7 linked regions of the Callithrix jacchus genome follow. The protein of the gene in region 1 binds, or shares a complex with, the protein of each later gene. Links are inferred from orthologs where the notes say so. Each region holds a gene or a part of one and is shown in the gene's direction. Other genes may lie near its edges. The genes, in order: B9D1, AHI1, TMEM107, TMEM231, CEP290, TMEM67 and TMEM17.

Region 1 (3,500 bases):
GCAGGAAAGCAGCTGGAGATGGAGCAGGGAGGCACCAGGGTGGATCTTATAGGACTTAGAAGGTCAGAGTAAGGACTGTGACCTTTACTCAAAGGGATTGGGGTCCCCGTGGAGAGCTTTCAGCAGACAAGAAAGCGATCTGACTTGTGTTTTTAGAAGATTCCCTGGTTTCTATGACAAGGATAGACTTCAGGAAAGGGCAAGAGCAGGCAGCACAGTTGGCTTTGACAGCAATGCAATGAGAGAGGAGGGCAGCAGCGGTATGGTGGCGGGAGGGCTGGACTGCAAGTACACCCTGAAGATAAAGCCGCTGGGCTCTTCTGGTGGATGTGGGGTGTGAGAGAAGGAGGAGCTAGAATTCACAGCAGGGCTTTTAGCCTGAGCACTGAGAAGTAGGGAGCTGCCTTTCAGTGAGAAGAGCAGATTGGGGAGCGCTACCTGGAGCTCAGCCTGGTGTGGGTTAAGGTTGAGGCGCCCACTGGAGGAGGTGCTGATCCACAGTACAGAGGCAAGGACCAGGATGGAGACATAAATTTGGGAACCTTTGACATCTAGAGCACATCGAAAGCCATGAGACAGATGAGATCACCAAGTACAGGTAGAGGAGCTGGCCAAAGATGCAGCCTTAGGACGGCACACTGAGAAGGAACCAGCAAGAGCCACCAAGCAGGGCCACCCTGTGCAGTGGAGAGACCCAGAAGCCAACGGAAGACAGTGTATCAAGGAGGAAGCAACTGTATCAGGCGCTGCTGATGGCTCAAGTAACACAAGGACGGAGAAATGACTGTTTTGCATCTGGCAATGCTGATCATGGACATTGTTGGAGAAAACCCTTTGGTAGAGTGCTGGAGCCAGCAGTCACATTGGAGTGGGGTCACAGAAGAATAGCAGGGGAGGGGCCCGTGCAATGGCTCATGCCTGTAATCCCAGCACTTTGGGAGGCTGAGGAGGCAGATCATGAGGTCAGGAGTTTGAGACCAGCCTGACCAACATGGAGAAACACCATCTCTACTAAAAATACAAAAATTAGCTGGGCATGGCGTGCCTGTAATCCCAGCTACTCAGGAGGCTGAGGCAGAAGAATCACTTGAACCTGGGAGTGAGCCGAGATCACTTCACTGCCTTCCAGTCTGAGGCGACAGAGTGAGACTCTGTTTAAAAAGAAAAAAGAATGGTAGGGGAGAAATTGGATCTGGTGAGTGAGGCAGCTCTTGGAAGCAGTTTTGCTGTAACGGAAGCAGAGAATGGGTTGGTGGGTGGAAGAGGCAGCAGAGTTGAAAAAGGACTGTGTGATGGACAAAATACATCTATGTGCTTACCAATGGGGATGCTCGGATGCGGGTGGGGATGCAGGGGAGTGCAAATACTGCTGGACCATTTCCTTCCGTGTAGCAAGAGCTTGGGAACAGATCCCAGTGCCCTTGTGCCTGGGAGAGTGGCTGGCCTCCCAGGGTTGTCACACACACTACCACATTAAAGTACCACACTTAAGAGGTATTCCATCATCTCTTAGTCCCCTTTGTTTGAAATCTAGTGTCTTGGGAGAAGATAGCTGAGAAAACAGCCTTCCCAGCTGCCTGCTGAAGGTAAGGGAGGAGCCACAGCAGCTTGACTCTGATCTGACTCTAGCTGTCTCTGTCATTGTCCCCACAGGGTCTGGAAGAGGGGATCTCACAGATCACATCTAAGAGCCAAGATGTGCGGCAAGCACTGGTGTGGAACTTCCCCATTGATGTCACCTTTAAAAGCACCAACCCCTATGGCTGTGAGTCTGCAGGGGCCCTGCAGGGTAGGGTGGCAGAGCTTTCACACAGCACCCCCAAGACGGCCTTTGCCTCATCCAGCCCATGACTGTTCACATTCACATTGTCACCTGGGCTCTTGAAGCAGCCCTCAGCACTCTCTCTCTCACCATCTGTCCCTTTCCCTCCTCTTCCTCATCTGTGCTCACCCTGGTTCATCTGCTACAGCTGTGCAGCTGGCCTTCTGGAAGTTCAGAGTGGATCAGGGCCAGTGACCATGCCTGTAAAAGGCAGGCCCCTCCCTGGTATGCAGGGCTGCAGCTGTCTGGCCTGGAGGTCTGACTCCGTGCCTGTTGACTTCCCGTGGCCTGTTGTGTTCCGACCAGACCCTGGCACTTGCTCCTCCTGTGCTAGCCCCTCAAGTTCCTTCATCTGAGCTTCATTCATGCTGATCCCTCTCTCCAGATAGCCTTCCCATGTCCTACCTCCAACCTCTTTCCCAAGGGCTTCCTGGCTGGCATTACTTATTTTCTACCCTGCCTGGTGCTTATTAACCACGCTGATCTTCCACTTGCACTTAATAAGTGCCTACTGGCTTAGTCTCCATGGGACATTGAATACTTTCCCTATGTGAACTCATCTGAGCTTCCCAATCATACCTGGTAGGTAGATTTCTCTCCATTTCTTCTCCCATATGAGGAAACTGACACTCAAAACTGACTTCACTTGCCTTCTGCTTTACATCTACTGACCAGGTGTGGATTTTCATTCAGGCCCCTCTGATTTCACGATCTAGGCCTTTCTGCTGCATGTGGCCTGGGCCTAGGCTCACCACAGTGTTGAGGGTCAGGAGCAGAAAATGCCTGGTGGTCCTCTTGGGCAGGGAATTCCATTCTGCTGTCATCATCTATGAATAGGAAGCTGCAGTCGACTTCCTGTAATAGTGCAGTAAGTACTATAGGAACTCAGCCAACCTCCTCCTGCTGAAGACAGGTAGGAGAGGTAAATGAAATACACAAAGGCAAAAACAAAAAGCAACTACCTCAAAGGCATCAGAGAGCTAGTGAAGTAGAAGAGATTTACCAGGCAAGATCCAGGAGAAGAACAGAAATCCAGAGGTTACCCCCATCCCATCTCCCCTGGGAGTGTTTGCTGATTCCAATAGAGGTGATTGAGAGACTGATCAAGACTTTTGACAGCCTCTCTGGGCCCAGGACACACACAAAAAACTGATGTTCAGAGCCTTCCAAGGGGTTGGGAGGAGGGCCTCAGGTAAATCTCTGCAAACTGGGTTAAGACCCAAAGAGCTGCCCTAGGAATAAGGGAGAGATGGAAGCAAAGCAGCCTCACAGGGATTGTAGCCTGGCCCCTGATAATTTCAACCTCCTGATTTTTGCATTCAGCTCCAAGATTGTTACACCCAAGGCACCTGGCAAAAGCAAATAAGAAACCTCTTTTGGCTAGGCATGGTGGCTCATGTCTGTAATTCCAGCACATTGAGAGGCTGAGGCAGGCAGATCACCTAAGCTCAGGAGTTTAAGACCAGCCTGGGCAATATGGCAAAAATCCGTCTCTGCTAAAAATACAAAAATTAGCCTGGTGTGGTGGTGGGCACCTGTAAACCCAGCTACTTGGGGGGCTGAGACAGAAGGATTGCTTGAGCCCAGGAGGTCAACGCCACTGTACTCCAGCCTGGGTAACAAAGTGAGAACCTGTCTCAAAAAAATAAGAAAAGAAGCCTCTTTGGAAAAATATAAC
Region 2 (3,500 bases), on another chromosome or scaffold:
GAACTGCAGTTAAATCTGTCGAGTCTGTCAGATCTGTTTAAAAACAGTCCCTTCTGTTTTTAGAAATTCTTATCTAAATAAGAATAGAATCTTGAAAATTAATTGTACATGTGGTTTTGGATGTATAAAAATTGGAAGCTTCCTTATGTGATTTTAAACAAAAAAATTAATGTTAGAAGATGAGTTTGTTGGAAGTGCTTCTTGTTTGGGACTGACTAAATTTGAGGAAAGTAAACATAGTACAAAAACTAATTAAATTAGTTTAATTAGTTTAATGCCACATACTAATTAAATGTGGCGTTCCATAATAGAAATACAGTTCATGAGCTTTATTTTGAACCTAAACTGAAGTTACTCAGAATCCTTTTGCTAACAATTATAAAGCATCCTATACAGCAGAATTGGAAATGATATTTTAAAATTAATTTTGTACCTGAAAAAAAGCTTAACATTAGACAAACTTTTCATTAGTAGTATTTTTTTATCATTTTAGGAAATTAAAGAAACTGAGTTTAAGGGGGTTCCAATTAGTTATCTGGAGGTTCATCCCAATGGAAAACGTTTGTTAATCCATACCAAAGACAGTACTTTGAGAATTATGGATCTTCGGATGTAAGTATATTTCAGTATTGACAGGCTAAGTACTCACAGAATAAGTAATGAATTAAATTATATTTATAAAACATGGTAGTGGTTCTCAACTAGGCAGTGTCCCCACACTCACCAGGGAACATCTGGCAGTAGCTGGAGATTTTTTTTTATGTTACTTCTAGTATCTAATGAGTAGAGATAAAAAATACTGCTAAGCATCCTACAGACCATAGGACAGCTTCCCTACAACAGTTATCCAGCCCAAAATGTGAATAGTTCTGAGGCTGAAATGTAGTTAGTTGCTTTTGTTTTCACAATTTAAAAAAAAAAAAAAGGAAGTTTCTGTCTTCTACAATGATACTGACTGATACTGATATCACTATGATACTGTTATAGCATTAGTATAATATGTTACAACTGAAGGAGAGGGTTTTGATTTATACATCTGTGTTTTTTTCTTTATTTCCAAATAATGGTGAATGTAGGGAAATATCCTTACTGTAAAAGGCAAAAGCAATGCTGGGAAGTCAGCATGGACTTCTAGTACACTTTTGTTGTGGTGTTAAGAGTTTCTGTAAAATAAATGAGAGAAAGCTATTTTATTAATGTCTTTCTAGTATTTAGAAAGGCAAATGTAATTTATTTTAGTTTAATTTTGTATCTTTTTAGGGTTAACTCTTATACCCTTCAATATTTATGTAAAACACTTCAAGGAACTGTCCTGGATGCTGTGGGAGAATAAGCAAAATTAAACCATTTGTTTATAATCCAGTTGTGTACCTTCAAAATAAAACCAAAAAACTTTTAATTAAGCTAAAATGTGAGACCTTCTAGGACTGGAAGCTACTTTTTTTTCCCCCCCTGTATGTAGCATCTATGCTGTGCCTGGCAGCTAGCAAGTGTTCAATATGTATTTTAATGAATATAAATTTGTAATAAAAGGACTTTATTCTTCATAGCAGCAATAGAGCTGACAACTATAATATAGTCTTCTGTTAAAAGCTCTATTGAGCAGCTGCCATTTAAGCTCAGTCTTGAAGGATGGGTAGAATTTCGACAAGATAAAATATTTCAGTAGAATAGAAAACAAAATAAAGTTCAGAAGTGAAATAATAGGCGTTTAAAGCAGAGTGAGTTAGTCTGTATGAGCATAGGTTCTTGGCAAGGAATACTGAGAGAGAATTTTAAGCAGTATAGTTTACAGCTTAATATCATGCTTGGGCTCTGCAGGACATACTACTTAGAGTTAAATACTGCCTTCTCTACCCCTTTACTAGCTGATCAATCTCTCCATGTGCCTCTTTTCTTATCTCTCAAATGAGAGAAATAATACACCATACACATAAGGGTTTTGATGGGGAATAAGCAACTTAATACATGTAAAGTATTTAAAACAGTAAAGCACATAGCAAGGACCCTAGAAAAGTTAGACCCAGTAACTCCAGATCTGGAAATTTATGTTAAGAAAATAATTATACAAGAACAGAAAATGAAACACCGCATATTCTCACTCATAGGTGGGTGATGAAAAATGAGAACACATGGACACAGAAAGGGGAGTACTAAACACTGGGGGTCTATTGGGGGGAAAAGGGGAGGGCCAGTGGGAGGGGGAGGTGGGGAGGGATAGCCTGGGGAGAAATGCCAAATGTGGGTGAAGGGGAGAAGAAAAGAAAGCACACTGCCATGTGTGTACCTACGCAACTGTCTTGCATGCTCTGCTCATGTACCCCAAAACCTATAATCCAATAAAAAATTAAAAAAAAGAAAGAAAATAATTATAAAACAGTACAAATGCTGTAATATGTATATACACACAAGATTATTTATAGAAATTGTGTTCATGGTAAGGGAAAGCTGGAAACATTCTAATGTCATCCAACAATAGATTTAATGTACCCATTAAAATGTTTATGTATAATCTATATTTTCTGACACGAAGGTCCATTATGACTTATTTTTGAGTGAAAACAGCAGATTACAGAGCAGTGTATCTAATATTCTCTCTGTAAATCAGGGACAATAATAGTACCTACCTGGCACAAAGTATGTGCTGAAATGGTGGTAACTATTATTTCATGAGTGAAAAAATATGAAGGCTTTGTACTATATTTAGTAGATGATTTAATATGTTTTATCTAATTATTTTCACAGATCAAATATTCCTTTTATTGTTTTAAAAATTCATCAGGTGGAAGAAACTATGAGTAAAAAAATTATTATTATTATTATTATTATTATTATTTGAGACAGAGTCTTGCTCTGTCACCCAGGCTGGAGTGCAGTGGCACGATCTCAGCTTACTGCTACCTTAACCTATTGGGTTCAAGTGATACTCCTGCCTCAGCCTCTGGAGTAGCGGGGACTACAGGCATGCGCTACCACACCCAGCTAATTTTTTGTATTTTTAGAAACGAGGTTTCACCATGTTAGCCACAATGGTCTCAATCTCCTGATCTCGTGATCCGCGCACTTCAGCCTCCCAAAGTACTGGGATTAGAGGCATCAGCCACTGCACCCAGCGAGTATAAAAATTCTATCCATTTTTTAGTAACCAGCTCAAATGCTACTTCCATAAAGTAGTCTCTCTCCATAGTTAAAATTAATTTCTTTTATCCAAGTTTGAAAAGAACTCTTCTGTTTTTCTTTTGTAGTACTTTGTACGTCCACCTTCTATTTTACGTTGACATGTTTCTTCTCTCCTGCTAAATGATAAACTCCCTGGGCTCCAGGGATTAGCTCTTGTTTATTCTGTATCCATCATATTATAGAATGTCTCCCATATGACAGATTCTCAAAAAAATGTTTGTTGAATAGAAATTAAGTATTTAAGAGAAAAAATTTTCTACCACCATTCATTTACATGGTTAAGACAGTTAAATTTGTAAAATCTTTTTTGCTTATAGATT
Region 3 (4,265 bases), about 8.6 Mb from region 1:
TTTTTTTTTTTTTTTTGAGACAGAGTCTCGCTCTGTCGCCCAGGCTGGAGTGCAGTGGCGCGATCTCGCCTCACTGCAACCTCCACCTCCAGGATTCAAGAAATTCTCCTGCCTCAGCCTCCCGAGTAGCTGGAATTACAGGTGCTCGCCATCATGCCCAGCTAATTTTTATATTTTTAGTAGAGACCGGTTTTCACCATGTTGATCAGGCTGGTCTAGAACTCCTGACCTCAGGTGATCTGCCCGCCTTGGCCTCCTAAAGTGCTGGGATTACGGCCATGAGCTACTGCGCCAAATTTTCTAAAATAAAGTTTAAGAACAAATGCCCCATTCTTTTTATAGAATTATAATTGTAGCGTTTCCCTTTTCATAGCATATAGTATCTTGCGGATTTGTTTGCATGTCTATTATTGATCTCCCTGACTAGAATCCACCTACTAGGTAATCAGTAAATACAAACAATATTTGAAGAAATGAGAAATGCCTCTTGGGCATATATTTAGACTGGCTAAAGGCACTGAGACGGGGAGTGAGGAAGAGGAAGCGGTTGTTCTCCGGGGAAATGAGCCGGGAGGACCCTTGAGAATGGGACTTGACAGCATTGCGAGAAGAAAGAGCTTTCCGATCAGCGGGGACCTGCGCTGAAACCCAAAGGTCATGAGGTTGCCGATGATAAGAGCTTCTTGGACTGTAGCTGGGTAATGTCGGAGGCCCAGCACCTCCAAGAGATAAAGAAATCTGATTTGAGTTTCCGTTCCAGTCAGCTCCAAGCCTCCCAGGGATGCAGGGACTGTCCATTCCCTCCATCCACTCCCACCCTTTCCGGTCCCCTTGCTCTGCCATTTTTTGCACTCTGCAAATCCCTCACCAAACTGAGCAAAGTTAGACTGAGAGAAATCAGTCTTCCTCAAGGAAAGTTCAGGCCTGGGGTCCTCAGACATCCAGGGGCTCCGTGACAATCTGTGACTGCTGAGCAGTCTAGGGACACCGCCTCTCCAAGTTCGGGACCCTTGTTTCTGAGGCCAGCTTGGTGGGAAGCTAAAGGCATACGGAGGAGGGGAAGGGGAGCGTGTCTGAGTCTTCGGCATGGCGGGGACCCGGACCTCAGCCCGGCATGGCGGTGGCGCGGCCTCAGGAGATCCACAATTGTCGGTGTAGAAGGGGCTGGGGGCCGCTCCCGGCAACTGCGGAAGCCGAGGTGCCCCCAGGCTAGCCCAGGTCGGTTTCCGTTCGTCGGTCCTGGGCGGGTAGATCGGGCGCTGCGGGGCCGTGCCACCTCGCACCCTCTCAGGAACAAAGGGCTTGGCTACGCGCGGATACCCAAACGTTGGGTTAGAATGGCATTCGGGGAAGCCCTGACCTGCGCAAGCCGGAAGAGGCCAGCAGCAGCTTGAGAATATACTGCTCTCGCGATGTTTTTCGAGAACGCGGCGCCGCGTTCGCGTACGGAGTTACCAAGGTAACTGGGCGGTGCCTGAGCGGGCGGGAAGGAGGCGTTCGTCTAGATTTTGTCCGCTTGCAGGGAGACTTCAGGAGTCGCTCTCTTTGAAATTCCGGCCTCTGAGACCGCCGCCCCTGTTTCCAAGGGCCATGGGCCGGGTCTCAGGGCTCGTACCTTCTCGCTTCCTGACGCTCCTGGCGCATCTGGTGGTCGTCATCACCTTATTCTGGTCCCGGGTAAGACCCACGGCTGACATCCGTCCGCCCCTATTCCCACCTCGGAGTGGTCCCAGCCCCATCTTGCCCCTCTCCCAGTGTCTTACCCACTTAGGTCTTCTCGTTCCCCGCCGCCCCCAGGCCTGCCTCGCCGCCCGTCCCTTTTTCACTTCTCTTCCTCTCTGCTCTGCTCCCAGGACAGCAACATCCAGGCCTGCCTGCCTCTCAGGTTCACCCCCGAGGAGTATGAAAAGCAGGACATTCAGTGAGCTCTCTCGGAATGGGCTGGTCAGAACGGAGAGGTGGTGGGAGTGGAGGGTTCTTAGAAGTCCAAGGGCCTGAGGCTGTCCACTTCCTTTCTGCAGGCTGGTGGCCGCGCTCTCTGTCACTCTGGGCCTCTTTGCAGTGGAGCTGGCCGGTTTCCTTCTAGGAGTCTCCATGTTCAACAGCACCCAGAGCCTCATCTGTATCCTTTCCTCCTGCTCACCTTTCCCACACGACCATTTCCATCAGGACTCCCTTCAGCCACCTGACACCATAGTGTCTGCTGTAACCAATCTCTCCAGTTCGGATATCTTCAAACATGTGCTAAATCCTGCTGTTTACTAGGCACTTAAAATCCCAAAATGAGAGTAAAACAGTTTTCGGCCAGGCACGTTGACTCATGTCTGTATTCCCAGCAGTGTGGGAGGCCCAGGCAGGAGGATTGCTTGAGGCATCATAGTGAGACCCTATGTCTACAAAAATAATAGTAATAATGAGAACTTCACCTTTTTTGTTTATCATGAGGAGGAGGCAGACACATATCTGTAATTCAGTGATAAGCAGGGTGCTATAGGAGTGTGTAAAGAGGGGTGGGCGCGGTGGCTCACGCCTTTATTTCAAGCAACTTTGGGAGGCCAGGACAGGTGGATCATTTGAAGTCATGAGTTTGAGACCAGCCTGACCAACATGGTGAAACACCATTCTCTACTAAAAATACAAAAATTAGCCGGGCGTGGTGACGGCACACCTGTAACCCCAGCTACTCAGGAGGCTGAGGCAGGAAAATTGCTTGAACCTGGGAGGCAGAAGTTGCAGTGAGCCGAGGTTGAGCCACTGCACTCTAGCCTGGGCAACAGAGTGAGACTCCGTCAAAAAACAAACAAGCGGGACACGGTGGCTCAAGCCTGTAATCCCAGCACTTTGGGAGGCCGAGGCAGGTGGATCACGAGGTCAAGAGATTGAGACCATCCTGGCCAACATGGTGAAACCCCGTCTCTACTAAAAATTCAAAAATTAGCTGGGCGTGGTGGCGTGTGCCTGTAGTCCCAGCTACTCAGGAGGCTGAGGCAGGAGAATTGCTTGAACCCGGGAGGCGGAGGTTGCAGTGAGCCGAGATTGTGCCACTGCACTCCAGCCTGGTGCCTGGTGACAAAGTGAGACTCTGTCTCAAACAAACAAACAAACAAACAAACAAACAAAAGGTAGAAAGCACAATGGGAACTCAGAAATGGCAAAGGAAATGAAGCACGTGGGTCAGAGAACTGTGAACCAGGAGTGCTAGAACCCTGGAGGCTGATTCCAGCAGAGCATATCAATTCGCTGTCAGCACTCCTGTGTGGCATGGTAGGAGAGCCTACTCTTACCTCTCATCTGAAGGGTCCAAGCTGGCCTCTAGATGTGGGGTAGGCTAGCCTGAGGTCCCATCTATGCAGTTACTTCTGGTCTCTCCTCATATGACCATCCTACAATTCAGAAGTCAGGGCTGCTGACTCTAGCCCTTGCAATATGGTGAGGGAGCAAGCGATGAACCTGAGTGCAGATGCCAACCCCACCACTGATGTTTTCTGATCCATCACTATCTGTCGATCCAAAGACTTTCCTTAACTGTGGTGCCTTCCCAAGCCATTGGGGCTCACTGTAGTGCATCCGTGGCCCTGTCCTTCTTCATATTTGAGCGTTGGGAGTGCACTACGTATTGGTACATTTTTTTCTTCTGCAGGTGTGGTAACACCCAATATTTGGGGATGAGGGAGGAAGGTTTACCCTAAATCTGAAAGTTTTCCCCCACCCGGTCCCTTCTTCCATGCATGAGATCCTGTAGTCTTTTTCATCCCCCATCCCCATGCCACCTGCCCTATACTTTCAGGGGTGGGGTCTCTAGTTTGGAGATTTGCATATTTATATTGAAAGGATTTCTGAATCTACCACCTGCTTCGGTAGTGCCCTTCCAGCTGTCACTGAAATGGCTTTATTCATCGCCATCTTTGGGCTGAAAAAGAAACCTTTCTGATCACCTTCCTGATGGTCGAAGGCTACATGGGAGGCCGCTTCGTATTCCTGGAAGAAGAAAGGCATAGGCTTCAGTCTTCCCCTTGGAAACTGCTTCTGCTAGAGGATATGTGTTGGATGTATGGGATTATCAGCATTGTATTTAGTGTTTTGTAATAAAATATGTTTTGTAGTAAGATCAAGAGTTATATAGTTTTCAGGGGACAATTGGGATGGCTTAACTATTGAAGAAAAAAACAACTACGCTGTTTTCTAGTCCTGCAGACCGTAAGATACTTGATATCGCTTCTATTTTGGTTATTACGGTAGACGTCTGGGGGAAGGAAGTGGGCGGG
Region 4 (3,500 bases), on another chromosome or scaffold:
TTTCATTGATCCTTTTACCATTATGTAATGCCCTTCTTTGTCTCTTTTGATCTTTGTTGGTTTAAAGCCTATTTTATCAGAGAGTAGGATTGCTACCCCCGCTTTTTTCCCCCCTCTCCATTTGCTTGGTAAATCTTCCATCCCATTTTGAGTCTATGTGAGTTTTTGCACATGAGATAGGTCTCCTGAATACAGCACGCTGATGGGTCTTAACTTTTTATCCAGTTTGCCAGTCTGTGTCTTTTGATTAGGGCATTTAGGCCATTTACATTCAATGTTAATATTGTTATGTTTGAAGTTGATCCTGCCATTTTGTTACTGGCTGGTTGTTTTGCTCGTTAGTGGATGCAGTTTCTTCATTGTGTCAATGCTCTTTACCACAGTGGCTGGTACTGGTTGTTCCTTTCCATGTTTAGTGCTTCCTTCAGGAACTCTTATAAGGAGCTCTGTTGGTGATGGAGTCTCTCAGAGATTGCTTGTCCATAAAGGATTTTATTTCTCCTTCACCTATGAAGCTTTGTTTGGCCGGATATGAAATTCTGGGTTGAAAGTTCTTTTCTTTAGGGATGTTGAATATTGGCCCCCACTCCTTTCTAGCTTGTAGGGTTTTGCTAAGAGATCTGCTGTGAGTCTGATGGGCTTTCCTTTGTGAGCAACTTGACCTTTCTCTCTGGCTGCCCTTAGGACTTTTTCTTTCTTTTCAACCCTGGTGAATCTGATAATTATGTGCTTTGGGGTTGCTCTTCTTGAGGTGCATCTTTGTGATGGTGTCTGTATTTCCTGGATTTGAATGTTGGACTGCCTTGGTAGGCTGGGGAAGTTCTCCTGGATAATATCCTGAAGAGTGTTTTCCAGTTTTGGATTCATTCTCCCTGTCACATTCAGGTACACTGATCAAGTGTAGATTAGGTCTTTTCACATAATCCCATAGTTCTTGGAGGCTTTGTTCATTTCTTTTCACTCTTTTCTCTCTAATCTTGGCTTCTTGTTTTATTTCATTTATTTGATCTTCAATCTCTGATATGCTTTCTTCTGCTTGATCAGTTTGGCTGTTTAAACTTGTGTTTGCCTCACGAAGTTCTCATGCTGCATTTTTCAGCTCCATCAAGTCATTTATGTTCTTCTCTAAGCTGGTTGTTCTAGTTAACATTTTGTCTAACCTTTTTTTGAGGTTTTGGGTTTCTTTGCATTGGGTTAGGACATGGTCTTTTAACTCAAAGAAGTTTGTTATTACCCACCTTCTAAAGCCTGCTTCTGTCAATTCATCAAACTCATTCCCTATCTTGTTTTGTTCCCTTGATGGTGAGGAGTTGTGGTCCCTAGGAGGAGAAGAGGTGTTCTGATCTTTGATGTATTCATTCGTTTTGCGCTGGTTTCTTCCCATCTTCATGGATTTATCTCCTTTTGATCTTTGAAGTTGGTGATTTCGGGAGGAATCTCTGAGTGGTCGTCCTTTCTGCTAAGTTGGAGCTGTATCTCCTATATGAGGTTTTGTTGTTGTTGTTATTGTTTTGCCTGTAGAGGCGCTGCTGGGCTGCCTTGCATTCAGTCAGACTGCTGGGAGTTCTTCCCCAGGAGTTTGTTTATGCAGGTGAGGTTAGCCCCGCCTTCCCAATGGGAGGGCATCTTTCCTTCCCTGTGCTCAATCTTCCCTGTCAGAGTCAAACTGGTGTATTCCTTTCAACACTCTAGCGTGCCAAGCTTCAGTTTGTTGGGTTTTGTGGGGGTGGGACCTGCCAGGCCTTATGTCCTGTTCCCCTACTTTCAACTCTGCCTTTTTCTGTGGGATGGGTAGTTTGGTCCTGCTGGCATTAGTCCAAACTTCCACCCAGGTACCTACCAGGCAGGCCGCAGCCTGTCGCTCAAATTCGCATAGAACGAAAACCTGCAGCGCCCCTCAGTCAAGCAGGACTCTCGTGGACCATGGGTAGCAGGAGGGATGAGGGTAGCACAGGATCCGAATTGGAGCGCAGAGGGGCTGAAGTTCCTGGCTCTCCGAGCCAGCTTCACTTTCCGGATGAAGACACACCCGCCCTATCTCATTTCGCCCTCCCTGGGCTGCTCTCGCCTTGCTTCGGCTCACCTTCCCTGGTCTATTTTATCTGTCCTACCAGTCCCACTGAAACTAACCCGGCACCTTGCTTCCAATCGTGGAGTCCTCTAGCCCCTCTGCCTCTCACTCGCTGCAAGCTGCACTCCGGAGTTGCGTCCTCTCGGCCATCTTGGCAGCTCCCCCATCACGATTAGGCGTTTTCGTATTTTAACGAGCTGACTTCTAGAGGCGTAGAAGACGATTCTGACGTGCTACTTAAAATTTCCCTAGAAATCCAGGCATGTTTATAAAAAAGAAAAAGATACCAGTGTAGGCTGGGTGCAGTGGCTCATGCCCGTAATTCCAGCAGTTTGAGAGGCCAAGGTGGGTGGATCACGAGGTCAAGAGGTCGAGACCACCCTGGCCAAAACAGTGAAGCCTTGTCTCTACTAAAAATATAGAAATTTGCAGGGTGCGGTGGTGCGCACTTGAGATGCTCAGGCAGGAAAATCACTTGAGCCCAGGAGGCAGAGGTTGCAGTGAGCCGAGATTACGCCCACTGCACTCCAAAATGGGTGACAAGAGTGATAGATACTCTACCTCACACACGCACAAAAATACCAGTGTAAAACAAGATCAAGTGATGCAACTGAAACGCACAAATGCTATCCAGATGTTTCTGTTATTGCCCATTTATTTTGGCCAGTGAACATTTGAGAGACTCACATAGGAAGTTCAGGGGCCATGCACTTTGTATCTCTTTCCCCAATATTAATGCGCTTACCCCTGTCTATTTTTCTCTTTTTTTGGGGGGTGGGGGAGATAATGCCTGTTGTGTACAGCAGGACCGTGGGTCATTGTGTATGTATAGAAGTGATGTGGATTCCTCCCAGACTCATTAGTGACCAGGGCTGCTGGCCCTGTTTGGGTGTCCTAGACTAGAGAAGAAGACAGGAACCAGGATGGGAAGATGGACATGTTACATTTTAAGCTGGAGCTTCCCCTGCAGTCCACGGAGCACGTTCTCGGTGTGCAGCTCATCCTGACTTTCTCCTATCAGTTACACGTGAGTCAGTCCGCTGGGAGGCCGTCCTCTCTCTTGTGTCTTTTTCATAGACCAGAGCCCTTCTTCTGATTTCTAGAAGACCCATACCGTAGCAGGTCCTCTTCCCCATGTAGTTTGGGATCGCTTAGGCCAGCTGAATGTTTTTCACTGGAGTCATATTAATTAATATGGGCTACTAATAGCTCAGAAGGTTCTAGGCAGTGTTTCCTGCATGACTGTGCTGGGTGCGTGAGAGTCCCTTAGGTTTCAGCCAAGACAGCTGACTGTTAGACCCAGAGCCCTTCAGATCTGACAGCGGTTGGTATTGTTTGTTTTTCTAATGATTTCAGAGGATGTCAACCTTCGTGATGCAGAGCATGGCATTTCTTCAGTCCTCCTTTGCTATCCCTGGATCCCAGTTAT
Region 5 (3,500 bases), on another chromosome or scaffold:
ATAAACATATAACAAATGAAAAAAATGAAAGTGAATGTTAGTAATGTCCATTCCAATATAATTTGAAGATTTTATTGTAAGTTCCCACAGTTGTAGAAAAGTCAATGGAAATCCTAAATAAAAATTTGTCATGTGGCTTGAGAAAAGATAACATTGTGTCTTATTTTACTTTAGAATGACCATTACTTTCAACTAAAATCATTATGATCAATAAAGTAATATTGTTTGTTGATATGGCATTTATATTTGTATATATAAATTGTAAATCTTAGGTAATCAACTGGCATATGAAAATAGAAGAACTTCGTCTTCAAGAGCTTAAACTAAATCGAGAATTAGTCAAAGATAAAGAAGAAATAAAATATTTAAATAATATAATTTCTGAATATGAACATACAATCAGCAATCTTGAAGAAGAAATTGTGCAACAGAACAAGGTTTTATATTTGTTTTGTATTTTCTAAGATTTTAGATAAGAATATTGCACAAATGACTATGTTATTCTAATTGAATTCAGCTTTTATTACTAATTGATTACATAATAATTTTTTCTTATTTTTTCAACTATTCTGAAAATTTATATTTAGTTTTTATAACATTAGTCTTAAAAAGGGCAATATATAGACAACCTCATTGATAAGTTAATTTTTATTTTGAGATTGGTTATTTGACTTTTCACAGTTCCAGGTTTCTACTGGCTCTCACTGACAGAGTAAGAAGGCAGCTTGTTATAGAATAAAGTGTGCGCTACAGAGACAGATGAAATTCATCAGACATATGACTGTCTCAGAGATTGTTCCCTCTGCTTAAATTGTTCTTACCATAAATACCCGTGGTGTTTACACTTTCAGTGCCTGCAGGTCTTAGCTCATATGTCTTATCTTATCAGTGCATCCATCACCAGCCACCTAAGATACAACCGTAAATTCTACTGTCAAGATTCCCTAAATAGAGATTATCTTAATTTTTCTCCATAGCACTTGTAACCTTCAGGTATATTACATACTTACTTGTTTATTATTGACTGTCTCTCCTTCACCAGAATGTAAGTTCCATGGTGACATGGACTTGGTTTTGTTTACCGCTGTGTTTGTACTGCCTAGAATGATGCTTTGCACACAATATATATAATTAAATATATTTTGGATGGATGGATGGATGGATGGATAGAGAGATTTAAATTACATCTGCCTTTCTGCCTTTCTTACTTCACATGTGCCTTTCTCTGTGATCTTACACAAGTTACGTCACCTCTCTGAGTTTATATTATTTTTCATAAAAGGAAAATAATTACAGTTTCATCAATGTGTTGTGAGGATTAGTTAAGAAAAAATATATGAAATGCTTGTTATGTGCCTGATGTCTTTGTGTATGTGTCTGACACAAATTGTCTTTTGTTAGTTTCATGAAGAAAGACAAATGGCTTGGGATCAAAGAGAAGTTGACCTGGAACGTCAACTAGACATTTTTGATCGTCAGCAAAATGAAATACTAAATGCAGCACAAAAGGTATGAATGATTAATCTTGTTTGCTATTCTGTAGCATGGCCTAGAGTGTTAATTCACAGAAATATTTCCTGTATCAGATATAATTTTAACTGATGTTATATTTGTATATATTAATTGATCTTATATTTGTATATTTAAAATATGAGGGGTTTAATCTATGTTTTATCATAAAGCCGTAAAAGTTAATATTGTTATTTTCAATGCTGTAACTGCTTTTTTAAGAAAACATACTATTTGTTAATAGTTTGAAGAAGCTACAGGATCAATCCCTGACCCTAGTTTGCCCCTTCCAAATCAACTTGAGATTGCTTTAAGAAAAATTAAGGAGAACATTCGGATAATCCTAGAAACACAGGCAACTTGCAAATCACTTGAAGAGGTAATTAGAAAAAATTGCATTTTGATTCGTGTATTCTTTGGAATGTTTGTGGGGGGTGTTAAATAATGTTTCTTTATGAGGATGATGCATAGAATGATGAATCTGTTGCTAATTTCACTCTTTTTCTGTTCTCCTTTAATGCTTCTAACAACTGATAATGAATAGCAGATATGGTTAATTTGAATTCACTGTTTGTTTTTTTTTTTTTTTGAGACGGAGTTTTGCTCTTGTTACCCAGGCTGGAGTGCAATGGCGTGATTTCAGCTCACTGCAACCTCCGTCTCCTGTGTTCAGGCAATTCTCCAGCCTCAGTCTCCTTAGTAGCTGGGGTTACAGGCACACGCCACCATGCACAGCTAATTTTTTGTATTTTTAGTAGAGACGGGGTTTCACCATGTTGTCCAAGATGGTCTCGATCTCTTGACCTCATGATCCACCCGCCTCGGCCTCCCACAGTGCTGGGATTACAGGCGTGAGCCACTGCTCCCGGCCCTGAATTCACTATTTAGTTATAACTTGTTACCTTTAGGTTCACTGATCAGCACTAGCGTGAAAGGAAAAAAAAGCATTTAATTGTAGCTTTATGAACCATATATTATTTTCCTTTATATGATCTTTCCTTATTTTTTTGGTTTTATTTTGAAGTACATGTTACATAATCTATTAATCCATTTTCAGTTCATTCCTTTTTATGCATGGCTAAAGGGTTGAAGGTAAATTAGAAATTATTTTCTGTTTTAATCTAGATCTTGACTTTGGTTAGTAGGTGATCAAATCTGTCATCTTTATTAAATTATTTTGAAAATAATTAAAAATATGATTTTCATGTTAGTTTCCATATAAATATATTAACCCCAAATACACTTAAAAATATATGTAAAGGAGTTTTTCAAGTAAAATTGTACATTTTTAATCAGTTCAGGAAACTTAGATTTTCCTCAGTAATTGTAAGATTTGTCATTTATGTGAATTGCCACTGAATCACTTAATTTAAAATACCTTAATCCTCTTGAAGAGTAAAAATTTTTCTAGTTTTTTTTTTTCTGTTTTGTTTTAATAAAGTGCAGGTTTTATAATACTAATTTCTTGACTTGGGCCACTAAAATTCCAGTTTTGTACTTCACTGACTTTAGATTAGTCTTCTAATGCTCTGCTAGTCAATGGACCAAAATAAAGGAAATAATTTATTACATATTCTTCCTAAATCTAGCACAACCACACATTTGTAGTTCTAAACTGTAATATCTCAATAAAGTACATTAATTAAATTTTATTTTTGTTGTAACAGTGAAGTTTCTAACATATGTAATACTCTTATAAACTATGTAAATAAATGTTGTCAATTAGAAATAGTTTAACCTTATTAAGTATCAAATGGCTATTGTACATATGATGAGAAAAATAAAGTGAATTTTTTTTTGCTAATAACCTAAAATTCAGATGAAGTATTTAAAGGAAAAAATATGCTTTACTGATTTATTGTGATTTAATCATTGCAGAAGCTAAAAGAGAAAGAATCTGCTTTAAGGTTAGCAGAACAAAATATACTGTCAAGAGACAAAGTAATCAATGAACTGAGGCTTCGATTGCCTGCCACTGCAGAAAGAGAAAA
Region 6 (3,500 bases), on another chromosome or scaffold:
GGCTAAATTCCCACCTCTAACTTTTTGAGCTTCCAGATTGAGCAGACACTATTCTCCCACATTGCCTCCCATTTAACAGATTCGAAAGGAGCTTATCTATCATTAGTGCTGCCTCTCAATTCTAGAATAATAATTTTCATGCAAAAAACCAGCCTAATTCTTTTAGGTATGTTTAGTCATAAAAATAGATTAAGCCTGAAAACAAAGGTAATTGAATGAAATTTTTCAACAAAAAAGATGAGTCAACAATGAAAATTTCTTTATAGGATATTGTATTACTTTCAGAGTATTTGACCTGATTTTGCTCTTGTTTTCTTTAATTAGAATACAAAACTGAAGTTTGTTGCTGCTTCCTATGATATAAGAGGAAATTTTCTCAAGTGGCAGACTTTAGAAGGAGGTGTTTTACAGGTAAGCATAATGCTAGTTAAAGAATTAATAATGTGCCTTGTTTATTCCCTCTTTTCTTTGCCTCAGGCTTTTCCTGAGAAGACAAGAGGAAAAAAACTAGATTTCCTAGTCTTTTCCTAGAAATAGACTAGATTTTGCCTGAGGCAAAGACAAGAGGAAAAGACTAGATTATTGTATGAATAGAGCATCAGTTACATACTACAGTTGACTTTTTTTTTTCCTGGTAGTTTAAACGAGAATTTCTTGTTCTTTTTTTTTATTTTTTAAATTTTATTTATTCATTTGTTTGTATTTTTTAAAGACGGGGTTTCACCATGTTGGTCAGGCTGCTCTTGAACTCCCGATCTCAGGTGATCCACCCGCCTTGGCCTCCAAAGTGCTTGGATTACAGGCGTGAGCCACCATGCCCGGCCTCTTTTTTTTTTTTAAAGTTATGACTTTAATTTATAATAGATGTTCCCTTAACTTTTCATATCCTTAATACGTTAAATAAGTGTTATGTAGAGCATATATACATTTTTGGGTTTGAGAACTCTTGAGTATAAGCATAGAAAATATTTGTGAGAGATATTTATCTATTGTATTCTTTTACTGTAGCTTTGTCCAGACACAGAGACAAGGCTCAATGCTGCTTATTCGTTTGGAACAACCTATCAACAAAATGTAAGTCTGAACTATATTAGTCTATATTTTAGCTTTATTTTTCAAAATATCACATCAACAGTAATTGGAATAATACTTAAATTTTTGAGATTGGAAATGTTTTAATAGTAATGAATAATTTCACTAATTAATATAATTTTTTATCTTGGTACAGAAAAGCTTAAGTGGCATAAACAGAGCATCTTGTTATCTATGGTTTTTTGTTTTGTTTTGTTTTTTGAGACAGTGTCACTCTGTTACCCAGGCTGGAGTGCGGTGGTGAGATTGGCTCATACTGCAAACTCTGCCTCCTGGGTTCAAGCAATTCTCGTGCATCAACCACCCAAATAGCTGGAACTATAGACGTGCACCACCACACCTGGCTAATTCTTGTGTTTTTCATAGAGACAGGGTTTTGCCATGTTGACCAGGCTGGTCTCAAACTCCTGTCCTCAAGTGAGCCAGCAGCCTCGGCCTCCCAAAGTGCTGGGATTACAGGCGTGAGCCACTACACCCAGCCCTGTTGTTGTTTTTAAAATAAATGTTATTGTGCGTCTAACATAGGCCAGGAAGATCAACACCTATGCAATGCCTGTCTCTGTATGCTCAGCATTTTATCATTATTATTATAAAATAACTATGTGAGATACATAATATCTGTGCTTCACAGATGAGGAAATAATGCCAAATAATTAGGTAATTTACTCAAAGTCTTGTGTCACATAAACTGTGGAACCAATGTTCCATCAGGTTTAAAAAGCATTTTAATTTCTCAAGTAGTTCATAGCCTAGTGGGCAGAACAGTTATATAGACAAAGAATTGCAAAGAATGTGGTAAGTGTCATTCTATAGGTATGTACAAGGTACTGATTTCTGGGGAACTATAGAAAGGCTTCACAAAGTAAGTGATATTGGGCTTATATAATGAATATGAGTTTGCCAGGAGAACACAGTGGAGAAGGAAATGTCAGACAGAAAGACATAGAATAGCATTTGCAATGACAGAGAGACATAGAATAGCATGCCATATTCAGAAACTGCAAGTAGGTTAGTATGAATGGACCACCACAGACTGATAGGGAGTAATGAGAGATAAGCCTGGCTTGGTTAATGGAAGCCAGATCATAGACATCATTGTACATCAGGAGAAAAAAATGGGACTTTATCCCACAGGACGGTAGTTTTAAGCCTTTTCATGGATGTACACTTATTGAGAATGAAGGCATACCTTCTTCATCCAAGTTGAGGCTCAAGAACAAAGCAGTTCTTTACTGTTGGTGTTTTTGGTTCTTATAAAATAATCGTATTTACGGTATTCATGCTTTGGAAGCCAAATGGAAATGCATATAGACAAGGTAGTGTAAAGATATTTTGCAAAACTAGAAAAACACTCTGAAGATGATAAATGTGCTTGCTAATTTTCAATTGTGATCTTTTATCTTTTTATTTTACTTTTTAGTACTTTAAGTTGCTGTTTTATATGCTTTTATTTCTAATCTTACTTTTCAGTGTGAGATTCCCATCTCTAAGATCTTAACTGACTTTCCCACTCCTATATTTTATGATGTATACCTTGAATATACTGTTGAAAATCAACATCAATATATTTTGGCTGTGCCTGTGTTAAACCTAAATCTTCAGCACAATAAGATGTTTGTGAACCAAGGTAAGACATCCATACATAACCACTCTTTCCCTGAGCAGAAATAAATCAATAAGTTAACCCACATGATAATTTAATAAACCACTGATTATAAGAAAGGTCATGAATCCTCTTTCATATGGTTCCATACAGCATGCCAAAAATAAAGCAATAAATTGCTGGTGGATTTAGAAATTTTTACTAATTTTATTGCCAGACATATTGTTAAGAAATTATACTATTGCTAAGGGTATATCCTGAGAAACATTAGTAGAACCGTAAATTGGGACTTTTTCTTCAAGCTGTCCTGAATATACTTTTTTGGACAAATTAGTTTCTTTTGTTGTTATTCATGTTATAAAATCCTGCATTTTCAGGTAATTTGCGGGAAAAGCCTTCCAAATTTATGAAAAGTTTAAACAATCAGAAGACATTCAAGTCCAAGATGTGGTGGCTCACACCTGTCATCCCATTACTTTGGGAGGCCAAGGCGGGAAAATTGCTTGAGCCTAGGAGTTCAAGACCAACCCAGGCAACATAATGAAAACCTGTTGCTAAAAAAAAATAGCTTGGTGTGGTGGCATCCGTTTGTAGTCCCAGCTACTCTGGAGGCTGAGTTGGGAGGATCACTTGAGCCCAGGAGATTGAGAATGCAGTGAGCCATGATCATGTTCCTGCGCTACAGCCTGGTCAACAGAGTGAGACCCTATCTAAAAAAAACAAAAGAAGACATTCACATGAGTTAAGAGAAGGCCATTGTCAGGTGTTTCTTATACCAATAGCTTCTTGCAGCCATTCTAACTAA
Region 7 (4,097 bases), on another chromosome or scaffold:
GGAGTTCGAGACCAGCCTGACTAACATGGCAAAACCCCATCGCTACTAAACAGACAAAAATTAGCCGGGCGTGGTGGCAGGTGCCTGTAATCCCAACTACTTGGGAGGCTAAGGCGGAGAATCGCTTGAACCTGGGAGGTGGAGGTTGCAGTAAGCCAAGATTGCTTGCACCGAGAGAAGGAGATTGCAGTGAGCCAAGATCACGCCATTGCACTCCAGTCTGGACGACAAAGCAAGACTGTCTCAAAAAAAAAAAAAAAAAAAAAAGGCAAAACTCTCCTTTGCTGTTAGAATTCAGGAAAGGTCAGTTAGGAGTAGGGAAGGAGTTTAGTGACTGAAAGGGAAGAGGGAGTTTCTGGGGATACTGTAAGATTGTTTCTTGAACAGGGTGCTGGTTGAACATGTAGATTCAGTTTGTGTATGTATGTATATTACACTTAGTTTTTTTTTTAGTAATATATCTTTATTACTAAAAAAGTATACAATTTTTATGTATGTATATTGCACTTAAAATTTTTTAAGTAATATATCTTATTTGAGAGAAAGCTAGAAAATATAGACATGTTTAACAATTTTTAAATCATCCACAATCCTACTAGCCAGTGATAACTAGTTAACATTTTAGATTTTTTCCATTTTTTTCAAACCAGTGTGCACACACTCCCTCCTTTCCTCCACCCATATTTACACACATAAATTTTGCTAAATTAGGTTCATTCTCATTTAGTTTTATTTCTGCTTTTTAAATTTTTACATAAACCGTATCATTCAATATTCTTTGCCAGCATTTTATAAGCAGCTGAAACATACTCCATTGAATGCATATGCTCCAGTACATTTCATCAGTTGCCCGTTGCTGCATTTTCCGATAATCAGTCACAGTATCTCTCTCACACACACGCACACACGTACACCTCTAGACATTCTTTAAGTTCTGCATTCATTCTCTATTTCCCTCCAGAAAGGTTGCAGAGATTTGTAGTTCCACTGGCAAGATGTGAGGGGTCCTTGTATCGCAGTCCAACCCCAGCCCATTTCTTAGTATAGGTTTGTTTTTACGGTGATAGGGCTCAAAGCAGGAATAAGGGATCTGCCGTTTTGGACACGGCCAAGGCACGCAGCTCCCGGGGCCTGGAACTCGCCCAAGGCAAGCCGGTCCCTTCCAGGTGCGCAGGCTCCCGACGAGACCCAGCCTAGCCAGGCAGCCCAGCGCGCTCCCGGGTCCCGCCGCCTCCGCCCCGCCCGGTTGCCGTGGGAACCACGGAGCGCGACTGCGCCCACAGACCAGCCTCTGTCTAAGGGGGCGAGGGATAGTGAGGCCCAGACATGGACCTGCCGGATCCGGTACGCCAGCGGCTGGGAACCTTCAGCCGGGCCGTGTTCAGTGATTCCAATCGGACTGGGCCGGAGTACAATGAGGGTCCCGGTGAGTGGACTAGGCCCGGCGCACCGGGTGTGGCCCGCCAAGGGCTTAGCGTGGGTTTTGGAGCCTCCAGAATTTGCCCAGACCTAAAATGGCGACGTCGCCTTCAGCTAGCTCTCCGCAGTCTTAGTTAGCGCCTTGGAGGAGGGGCCGGGTCGAGCGGGGAGCTGAGGCGCGGGCCGCCTATGGGCGGATAACCCAGGGCCGGGCCTGGTCTGCGCGTGCCGCCGCAGCCCAGCCGGCTCTTTATGAGAGAGGCAGCTGAGGTGGGGCCAACCTCTGTGCTAGGCGAGGCCCATCATTGCTCCAGAGAAACCCCAAAAATAAAAAGATAAAAGCCGTTTGCTGCACAGGCTGGTCCCGCGCGCGCCATGAGGGCAAAAGCCCAAGTTGCTTTTTCTCGGCTTCGCCCGCCCGGGCTTTTCTGGGCAGGATGGCGGGGAGCAGCCCAAGCAATCCCACCACCCCCGTCCCAGGGAACACATTTGCCTTTTCTCTTTTCCTAGCAGAAAAGTATGTTCCTCCTCAAGGCCATTTGCTGGTAGAAGAAATTTTGAAACAACAACAACAACAACAAAATTTTTAATGAGTCCTTTCAAACCACCATTCACTCTCAACTGGCATGTGCCATACTGGCTGTCTGTTCAACAAAACTCACCTCTTCCCTGCCTTCTCCACCTCCCCTATATGTAACTCTTACCATAAGGTAACAAAATACCACGATGCTTCTGCATCCTTCAACCTGATGACAAGTGATAACGCAATTTCCTCCAAAACAGTTTCCTTCTCCTACATCATGATGGTAGACAACACACTGTCAACCAAACCCATGTGGTTTTCATCATTCAGCTCTGCTGGGAAATGGAAATCTTTTCCTCTGCTTGGTTTTAGCAAATTTTAAAAAGGGACAGAGAAAAGTAAAGTCAGTTCCTATAGCTGCATTTTGTCACCTTGATCACTTGCCTATTCCCCAAATGTAGGCCTTTGTCATTTAGGATATACAGAGAAAAACGGGAAAAAATTAAGTTTTGATGTTTCTGGTTCCAAGGATGAGGCTTAATGAGCACTAACATCTGATAATAGAAGGTAAAAACGGACGTTTTCTGAAAAGGGCCCGATAGTAAATATTTTAGACTTTGTAGGCCATATGGTCTCCACAGCAGCCATTGATAATAGTTATTGAATAGGCATGGCTGTGTTCCAATAAAACTTTATGGACCCTGAAATTTGTATTTTATATGGATTTCTCGTGTGAAAAAAATATTTCTTTTATTAACCATTTAAACATATGAAAAAACATTTTTATCTCATCAACTATACAAAAACAGGCATCTGGCCAGTAGTTTATCATCCCTGATTTATATTGTATGTTTTAATTTAAATTCCATTTACAGAACTCAACTTGAACTTTTGCAAACTTTAGTAAATTTATCTTATGCTTTTAAGTTTCATTTACATATTAACTTGATTTTCATTTCCATGATTATAACTTTGATCTGCTGAAATAGGGACATAGCATAACCTTTAAGATATTAACACACAATACTTCTAACATAAAAACCATTCTTCGCAAAATTTGACTACAGTTTCTTCTCAAAGGTACTGAAATGTTCAGCTTGCCCAATTTATTATTCTTTCCCACATTTTCTTCTTTGTGGATCTGATTCTTTGTGCTGTAATAACAAGTTCCTATCATTACCATGTCCACAGCATTGTGCTGTTGCTATGAAAAAGATCCTAGGCTGGTGAGTTGTCTTCAAATTTAAGGTTTTTTTTTTTTGGGTTTTTTTTTGAGATGGAGTCATGCTCTGTCGCCCAGGCTGGGGTGCGGTGGCCAGATATCGGCTCATTGTAACCTCCGCCTCCCGCGCTCAAGCAATTCTCCCACCTCAGCCTCTCGGGTAGCTGGGACTACAGGTGTGTGCCACCATGCACAGCTAATTTTTGTATTTTTACAAAATTACCCCCATAGAGACAGGGTTTCCCCATGTTGGTCAGCATGGTCTCATCTCTTGACTTCACGATCTTCCCGCCTCAGCCTCCCAAAGTGCTGGGATTATAGGCATGAGCCACCATGCCTGGCCAAATTTAACAGATTTTTAAGAGTTCACTCCTTTACCAGTGGTAATTTAATAAACGGATGTAAGCAAAAGTAGGTCATAATAATCAGGCATATTCTTGGAGCTAAAGGAAACTTTTGCTTTGAGAGACCATGATTATTTCTTATATTTTAAATGACCGATAAAAACACTCAGCTATGGAGACAAGGGAAAAATACTGTTTTAAAGAAATTTATTTTAGAGCCTTTAAAATGTTACGTGTAGAGCAACTGATTTCAGTATATGTATCTGCTCTTAAGAATTTAGTTAAACTTAGGATGTATTGTATAGGGCTCAATTTTAAAAATCAAATTCTTAATTTAAGACCCTTCTCTTACATAAAAGCAAAAAGTGTTATGGAATAAACCTTAGGTAAATGGAACTCATGTATCACAAATGGTTATACTAGTAATGTCCTTATGACAGTATGCTTTCATTAATTCATTCTTTCTGCTTATGTTGCTTATGTGTATTTGATATTCACTGTGTGTAAAGCAAGATGCTAGATTCTGAGGTTCCCAGATTAGGGTAATACATGGTCTGTGCTTGCAGTGAGCCCGTAGATAAGTAGAAGA

What was found.
Region 2: B9D1 (region 1) and AHI1 share a complex: the UniProt entries of both Homo sapiens proteins name them as parts of the tectonic-like complex. The link is inferred for Callithrix jacchus from reciprocal best matches to the Homo sapiens genes B9D1 and AHI1.
Region 3: B9D1 (region 1) and TMEM107 share a complex: the UniProt entries of both Homo sapiens proteins name them as parts of the tectonic-like complex. The link is inferred for Callithrix jacchus from reciprocal best matches to the Homo sapiens genes B9D1 and TMEM107.
Region 4: B9D1 (region 1) and TMEM231 share a complex: the UniProt entries of both Homo sapiens proteins name them as parts of the tectonic-like complex. The link is inferred for Callithrix jacchus from reciprocal best matches to the Homo sapiens genes B9D1 and TMEM231.
Region 5: B9D1 (region 1) and CEP290 share a complex: the UniProt entries of both Homo sapiens proteins name them as parts of the tectonic-like complex. The link is inferred for Callithrix jacchus from reciprocal best matches to the Homo sapiens genes B9D1 and CEP290.
Region 6: B9D1 (region 1) and TMEM67 share a complex: the UniProt entries of both Homo sapiens proteins name them as parts of the tectonic-like complex. The link is inferred for Callithrix jacchus from reciprocal best matches to the Homo sapiens genes B9D1 and TMEM67.
Region 7: B9D1 (region 1) and TMEM17 share a complex: the UniProt entries of both Homo sapiens proteins name them as parts of the tectonic-like complex. The link is inferred for Callithrix jacchus from reciprocal best matches to the Homo sapiens genes B9D1 and TMEM17.

What each region holds. Positions count from the first base shown.
Region 1 is NC_133506.1:83,255,613-83,259,112, reverse strand, and holds part of B9D1 (B9 domain-containing protein 1), read left to right. Parts: intron 1-1,653; coding exon 1,654-1,765; intron 1,766-3,500. UniProt on the Homo sapiens protein: Component of the tectonic-like complex, a complex localized at the transition zone of primary cilia and acting as a barrier that prevents diffusion of transmembrane proteins between the cilia and plasma membranes.
Region 2 is NC_133505.1:142,163,750-142,167,249, reverse strand, and holds part of AHI1 (jouberin), read left to right. Parts: intron 1-493; coding exon 494-612; intron 613-3,497; coding exon 3,498-3,500. UniProt on the Homo sapiens protein: Involved in vesicle trafficking and required for ciliogenesis, formation of primary non-motile cilium, and recruitment of RAB8A to the basal body of primary cilium.
Region 3 is NC_133506.1:74,652,738-74,657,002, reverse strand, and holds TMEM107 (transmembrane protein 107), read left to right. Parts: upstream 1-1,465; 5' UTR 1,466-1,590; coding exon 1,591-1,677; intron 1,678-1,853; coding exon 1,854-1,921; intron 1,922-2,021; coding exon 2,022-2,122; intron 2,123-3,543; coding exon 3,544-3,640; intron 3,641-3,861; coding exon 3,862-3,931; 3' UTR 3,932-4,106; downstream 4,107-4,265. UniProt on the Homo sapiens protein: Plays a role in cilia formation and embryonic patterning. Requires for normal Sonic hedgehog (Shh) signaling in the neural tube and acts in combination with GLI2 and GLI3 to pattern ventral and intermediate neuronal cell types.
Region 4 is NC_133521.1:32,947,265-32,950,764, reverse strand, and holds part of TMEM231 (transmembrane protein 231), read left to right. Parts: intron 1-2,969; coding exon 2,970-3,098; intron 3,099-3,427; coding exon 3,428-3,500. UniProt on the Homo sapiens protein: Transmembrane component of the tectonic-like complex, a complex localized at the transition zone of primary cilia and acting as a barrier that prevents diffusion of transmembrane proteins between the cilia and plasma membranes.
Region 5 is NC_133510.1:93,099,044-93,102,543, forward strand, and holds part of CEP290 (centrosomal protein of 290 kDa), read left to right. Parts: intron 1-272; coding exon 273-437; intron 438-1,401; coding exon 1,402-1,509; intron 1,510-1,753; coding exon 1,754-1,888; intron 1,889-3,387; coding exon 3,388-3,500. UniProt on the Homo sapiens protein: Involved in early and late steps in cilia formation. Its association with CCP110 is required for inhibition of primary cilia formation by CCP110.
Region 6 is NC_133517.1:33,398,869-33,402,368, reverse strand, and holds part of TMEM67 (meckelin), read left to right. Parts: intron 1-324; coding exon 325-411; intron 412-1,008; coding exon 1,009-1,074; intron 1,075-2,562; coding exon 2,563-2,719; intron 2,720-3,500. UniProt on the Homo sapiens protein: Required for ciliary structure and function. Part of the tectonic-like complex which is required for tissue-specific ciliogenesis and may regulate ciliary membrane composition.
Region 7 is NC_133515.1:51,607,283-51,611,379, forward strand, and holds the start of TMEM17 (transmembrane protein 17), read left to right. Parts: upstream 1-1,297; 5' UTR 1,298-1,326; coding exon 1,327-1,426; intron 1,427-4,097. UniProt on the Homo sapiens protein: Transmembrane component of the tectonic-like complex, a complex localized at the transition zone of primary cilia and acting as a barrier that prevents diffusion of transmembrane proteins between the cilia and plasma membranes.